2 linked regions of the Macaca fascicularis genome follow. The protein of the gene in region 1 purifies or fractionates together with the protein of each later gene. This does not show direct contact. Links are inferred from orthologs where the notes say so. Each region holds a gene or a part of one and is shown on either strand. Other genes may lie near its edges.

Region 1 (3,520 bases):
ATAGCTTGTGCCTAGAAGGCGGGGGTTACAGTGAGATCATGCCACTGCACTCCAGCCTGGGTGACAGAGCGAGAAAACAATAAAATTAAAATAATAAAATAAAAATTGTTTATGTATATACTGTATGACTATCATTTAGATACATACCCATAGGAAAAATGGTTTACCCTAAAAACATAATTACTCACTTTGGCACTTTTGATATGTTGGGACACCTTTTCAAAGTTCCTATTCAGCTCAGCTAACTTTGGTTCTACAAGCTCCCTGCTTGAGCTTCCACGGGCATTCATCAAAATAAGGGCTTGATCGCGGACATTTTCAACCTGGAGGTTAGCATCATCCAGCTCAGATACTAAACGCTAATTATAAGAAAACACAAAATTATCTCATGGGAAAAATCAAACCCAAACATGAGTGTGATGCTTTTACAGAATGAAAGGTAGTTTAAATAAATATCTGGGATCCCCAGTAAGAGATTTCAGCATAATCAACCAGGCAAGAGCTGTTCACATAGGGCTCATTGGAGAACACAGAGGTAAGCAACTCTCATTGGAGAATACAGAGGTAAGACTCGCTGGAGAATATAGAAGTATGTAAGACATATTGGAGAGTACAGAAGTAAGACAGACTCATTGGAGAATACAAAAGTAAGTAAGGGTCACTGGAGAATACAGAAGTAAGCAGCACTCAGTGGAGAATGCAGAAGTAAGCAAGACTCATTGGCATCTTATGTGCATAGCTTTTACTCTTGTTGATTGTGCTGAAGTCTCTTACTAGTCTTTCGATTTCAATTCAAGTTTGTCTCTTATTGAGTTTGTCTCTTATTGTCTCAGTTTCTCCCATCAAAATAAATGTTAATGAATCTAACGCTTGGGAGGAATAAGAGCATAAGTAACTTAGAGCATTCCACAAGAGAAAACATGACAACAAAACATTCCACCCCAAAAGTGTTACTGATGTCTCTATGTTTGCCACCTTTACAATTTCTTCCCGTTTACTTGCTGGTTTCTTTTCAATTTCATCCAATAGAGCTTCAGCTTGATACAGCCAGGTACTTATGTGGGCCACATTTCCATCAAATATTTCTAGCTGGTTCTGATGGTTCTACAAAGGAATTAATAAAATGCTTACATAACCATATGAAATATTTAAGATGATAATCTTAAAAGAGATTTAAAAGACCTTCAAAGAGCAAACTGTATCATGAATTTAAAGAAAAGCTTTCACCTTCCTGCAGAGCTCTTCTTCAGTGAATAAATCTCATTCCTAAAAATGCACATCTATGCTGCTTAACACTTCTTAAATTTATCTGATTTAGACCTCAGCACAATAAAAAGTTGAAGTAGAATAAAAGTTGAAAGTTTTTTTTTTCAATTTCAATGCAAGTTCATCTCTTATTACTCATTCTTATATTACAACTGATCTGATTTGCCCTCCTCAATCTTTTTTTTTTTTTTTTTTTAAGATGGAATCTTGCTCTGTTGCCAGGCTGCAGTACAGTGGTGCAATCTGTGCAATCTCGACTCATTGCAATCTCCGCCTCCCGGGTTCAAGCGATTCTCCTGCCTCAGCCTCCTGAGTAGCTAGGACTGCAGGTGTGCACCACCACCCCCTGCTAATTTTTAGTATTTTTAGTAGAGACAGGGTTTCACTATGTTGGCCAAGATAGTCTTGATCTCTTGACCTCGTGATCCACCCACCTCAGCCTCCCAAAGTGCTGGGATGACAGGTGTGCACCCGCACCTGGCCCATATTTTTTAAACACTCACTTACTGAATAATTTTTTTAAATGATGAAAATATGAATTGAAAAAAAGATGCTGTATGCTCTGCTTAAAGGACAGTGCCTTTGTCTCCTTACCTCTATATCACCAGCCCTTAATATTACATCTGGCATAGACCACAGCAAGATGTCCTGAAGCAGGACATGAAACGTGCTTGACAGAACAGATTTGAAAACGGAAGCAACAGTTAAGCAGATTATGACTGGGAAAAGCAGTCCCTTCTTGGGACTAAGGCAAGAAGTTAGAGTGTGACCGAAAAGGGTAAGGAGGCTTATGATAAAATTAACATTTAGCAATTATATGTTGTGGGATAAAAGAAACTGGAAAATGCTTAGACAGTAAAAATTTTTACAAAGAAAGAAATTATTAATCTATAATATGAAAAATAGTTGAAAAAGAAAATGTCGGCTGGGTATGGTGGCTCACGCCTGTAATCCAGTACTTTGGGAGGGCCCGATGGGAGGATCACTTGACCTCAGGAATTCAAGACCAGCCTGGACAACATGGTGAAACCCCATCTCTAAAAACAAATATAAAAATTAGCCAGGTGTGGTGGCGCATGCCTGTAGTCCCACCTACTCGCAAGGCTGAGGTGGAAGGATCACCTGAGCCTGGGGAGGTAGAGGTTGCAGTGACCTGTGATCATACCACTGCACTCCAGCATGGGTGACAGAGTGACAGCCAGCCTCAAAAAAAAAAAAAAAAAAAAAAAAAAGTGAACAAATAAGAGACATAAAAATAAAAGAAAACAAACTTGCACTTGTGCCCCTGAATTTAAAATAAACATTAAAAAAAAGAATGTGAACTAATAAATGATATGAGAAAATATCAACAGTGATCTGGATCCTAAGTAGGAAGAACTGATGAGCACCAGACTTGTTTACCCCTTTCAAGCAGGTAAATCAAATGTTCTAACAGCGTTAGAAAGATACTGCTTGAATGGAGAGTTTGAAAGGTATAGACAGAAGAATACAGAAATCAGGGCCATGAGAATGTGAAATAAAGCTAGTAATTAAAAATTAATATATAAAATATTTAATGAGCATATTCTATGAGCCAAGAATCTCATATTCACTATTATATTCTCTGTTAGGTATATACTTTTGTTCTCATTCTCTATATATGGAAATTTCAGCTTAGTAACATTAAGTAACTTAGCTAAGGTTAAACAGCTAATAAGTCAAGGACTGTGGATATAAATCTGTTAGAGATCAAGAGCAAAGTCCATGGCTCTTCACTGCCCTACACATCCTGATGAATTTAAATAAATATTCAAACACACAATAATGTATGCTTGTTGTCTCTATCCATTACCTAGTAATTCTATAAATTTGATAAAAGTCCTATCTCAGGTATTTCAGAATTAAAAATATATATTTTTAATTATATATATTTTATTAGAATTTCAGAATTAAAAAATTTATATATAAATGACAATGCCTTCCTCAGCAGGGGAGGGTGGGGTGGCCATATATTCACAGTTAGTATCATAGGAACGTAAAACCACTATAAAAATTAAATGATAACTATTTCCATGAGATAATTTACAGAGTAGTGGCATAACCAAAGACTAACACATATACAATATTTAATAATTATAAATATAGCAAAATCTAAAATTGGTTGTTTTGGTTATTTAATTGGTTATTTAAGAGCACTACATGTTTAAGGCTTATAATTAATCATTGCAAAACTGTCTGAGACAGATATAATAATGTCCATTTTACAAATTAAACA
Region 2 (3,520 bases), on another chromosome or scaffold:
AATCTAACAAGTCACTCTTTATTTCTTCAATTGTATCTGCCAGAGGTTGGGAGTGAAACAGAGAGTAATGTGGATTCTGAATTTGCACGGACTCAGTTTGAGGATCTTGTTCCCTCACCAACCTCTGAAAAGGCTTTTCTAGCGCAAATCCATGCTCGAAAACCTGGGTATATTCACAGTGGAGCTACCACAAGTACCATGCGTGGCGACATGTGAGTATCTTCCGCTTGGAGGCATTTTCTCAGTAACAAAACAATCCGTAGGAGGCAATAAGAATGTAAAAGCATAATTGTTTAGGGTTTTTTTTTAACCTTCAAAAGGGGTGACATAGTTTTCTTTTCTGCCAGAGATACAGAATGGTGCTACATATAAATTCGGCATTGTAATATCTCCCCTCTTACAATTTCCAGAGAGTTATCAATAACCTAAACCAACCAGTGCCTATCAAGAGCCTGCCTTGCCCAAGGCACAGTGCTAGTTCTATACAAAATAGTATTAAAAAACTGCTGCCACCCTTTTAGGACTCAGACTACTTCAGGAGATAAATCATCCTATCTTCTGAACTTATTGTATTTGCACTTAGAGGATACCATGACATTGGAGAGGTCTCTGTTCAGAATTGGTGTAAACAACATCATATAAGTATTTGGAATTGAAATAAGTACATGTATAAAATCTCATTATAAAGAAATCCAGTTTGGTTGACTTGTTGAATATGTATACATCTGACCCTCTAAAGACTTATTTGCGAAAGTTTCCACCCAGTTCTGGAGCTTGTCAGAAACCAGCAGCATCAGTGACGTCCTGTGACCACTAGACTTTCTGTGACCCTGGATCAGCTCAAAGTAGTCAGCAGAGAAAACCAAAGCTGAGAAACAAAGGCAAAGCTGGGACAGAGCTGCAGAGCCCAACTTGGGAGGGAAAGGAGGAAAACAAAAGAAGGGAAGAAAGTGGCCCGTTAGGAGACCATGGTTCGTGGAGTTACGGGAAACGTGGGCAAAAGCTGGGGGAGGGAGCGTCTGAACGCTAAAAATACTACAGAAGGGTGGTGTTGCTTAATACGAAAAGTACTTCAGACTAGTGTATAAAAATAAACTGGCCATGTTAAAGACTCAGAGAAGAAACTAACCTGAGGCCTTTCTGGTGTCTGGCTCCCAATCCCAGCAGTGAATAAACGATCAGTAATCATGGAGAATTATCAAGAGCTGTGGTCTGAGAGTCAGCTGTGAAGCAGCAGAGAATAGGATCAAAACAAAACCATTATAATGGGACTTAACATGGCAGTACGCTGCTGCTTAATAGAGTTTGCTTTCTTGTCCTTTCTTCTGTATTCTAGAATTGTTGGATTTGTTATTCAAAATAGTGAATTAGTTGTCATCTGTTTTGTCTGGTAAATGCATATCTATTTGACTTTTTATTATTAAGCATTTATATGGCAGTTAGCTAGAATTTCCTTGTCCCAATTCTAAAGGCCAAGGCTGTTGGGGCCACCCTAATCTGCTAGCCCTGGTACGCTGAGTGGCAGTACCAGCTACCAACATGTGACTCAGGAGTTAGGGAAGGAAAGTTAACAGAGGCCTAGGCAGACCCATTTAGGCTGGCCCCAAACCTCCAAAAATAACCAGAACAAGTTGTACAGCTATAAATAAACATGAACAACGACGTTCAAGTTCCAGCCTAGAAACTTCTTCTTGACCACTTATTTCATTTTAGGGAATAATTTAATATCTCTATTGTCTAAACATGTCCTTGTGTCTTACCCTGAGAATCTTTTAGTCCTCTGATTTAGGTAGCAAGCTTACGTCCAGCCCCATGAAGAGCTTTGCATAGTCTAGGATGAATAGATGGAGACAGAGTCCCACATCAGGGAATGAAGTCATTTTTAACTATTTCAGAGTGGAATTAGATAATTAAAATGCTTTTTCTTTTTCATATTTAGAGCTAAGATCAAGAGTTATGGGTTAGTAGCCCTCCTGGCATCGACTAGCTGATGTTCTTAGACTTAATTCTGTAAAAATAAGGCATGAATGTGGTGTGCATTCATATGTGTATGTGCATGTGTGGGTAACACAAAAGAGACTAAATTAAAACCAAATGTCCTTAAGCATTACTTCACTAGAGGGCTCACTCTCCATACAGAAAGTGATCTTGGGTTCTATTTTGAAGAAGAATAAAAAGAGCCCTCTGATTGGGAAAACTTTGTATCCCCTCAAAAGATGTTTGCCATTTTTTAAATTATAGAACATTTAAAGGGCCAACCCATTTCAGTAAACCCTAGGAAAAAGAGAGATGACCTATGACCACAACTGCCATAAAAAAATTGTGTATGCAAATACCTTGATCATATATTGCTTCCAACCTCCAAAATGTTTCCAAGTTTTTCTTTAGGTATTACTAAAGAAGACATGAAAGTGACTTGGAGAACTAAGGAGAAATAAAGGTGCCAATAAACTACAGCTCACACACGAATCCCACTTGTAATTCTCTTTTAAGATTCACTCTAAAATGTCATCTGTGGTTTCTTCTCAGGGTTACGGAGGATGCAGATCCCTATGTGCGGCCTGAGGATGAAAACTACGAAAATGACTCTGTCCGGCAGCTGGAGAATGAGCTCAAGATGGAGGAATACCTGAAACAGAAGCTGCAGGATGAAGCCTATCAGGTACCGGGATCCAGGCCCACCCACCCCACCTCTTCTGCCTCAACCCCTTGGTAGCTGGGTCTTTGACATGACTTGCAGAATCAGGGCCTTCTCCTTCCTTCCACCCTCCCTTTCCAAAATATGCTGATTTTACTCCTTAATCCATGTCTTCTAGACAGTACAAATATTAAATGCTTCTTTTTTTTTTTTTTTTTTTTTTTTTTTGAGACAGAGTTTCACTCTGTCACCCAGGCTGGAGTGCAGTGGTGTGATCTTGGCTCACTGCAACCTCTGCCTCCCTGGTTTAAGCAATTCTCCTGCCTCAGCCTCCCCAGTTGCTGGGACTACAGGTGCACATCACTACGCCCAGCTAATTTCTGTATTTTTAGTAGAGACGAGGTTTCACCATATTGGCCAGGCTGGTCTCGAACTCCTGACCTCGTGATCCGCCCACCTCAGCCTTCCAAAGTGCTGGGATTACAAGTGTGAGCCACTGCACCCACTTCTTATAACTGTCACTCACCATGTATTCTTTTAAATTCCGCCATAGAAAGTGATAAGTGGCCTTCTTATATTGGAAAATAACATGGTAACTAACAGTCCAAACTCTTTCAGGCCCATTAAGAAAGATGCTTTTTCTCATAATTATTTTTAAATGGATGCAAAGAGCAGGGCACAAGAAAATTGAATAATCATAAACCCATCACCTCCCTTGAATTATTTGCCCTCAGCCTTCCTCATTGCCCACCTCATGCCAAGTGTAAGTAGGAGAATGGCAAACCTCATGGAGAAATGTTGGGGGAACTGCAGGCCTGTGTTCAGCAAGGTGTGGACGGACAGATTTTCAGATGTACTGGAGTATGTTAGCCACCTGAAAAT

What was found. Proteins that work in one complex are often made in the same cells at the same time.
Region 2: the proteins of UTRN (region 1) and DTNA purify together in Homo sapiens (affinity purification with mass spectrometry; 3 studies listed by BioGRID and IntAct, with this or other methods). This does not show direct contact. The link is inferred for Macaca fascicularis from reciprocal best matches to the Homo sapiens genes UTRN and DTNA.

The regions. Positions count from the first base shown.
Region 1 is NC_088378.1:48,724,577-48,728,096, reverse strand, and holds part of UTRN (utrophin), read right to left. Parts: intron 1,105-3,520; coding exon 976-1,104; intron 360-975; coding exon 189-359; intron 1-188.
Region 2 is NC_088392.1:54,951,757-54,955,276, reverse strand, and holds part of DTNA (dystrobrevin alpha), read left to right. Parts: intron 1-43; coding exon 44-212; intron 213-1,129; exon of another isoform or gene 1,130-1,239; intron 1,240-2,529; coding exon 2,530-2,662; intron 2,663-3,520. UniProt on the Homo sapiens protein: May be involved in the formation and stability of synapses as well as being involved in the clustering of nicotinic acetylcholine receptors.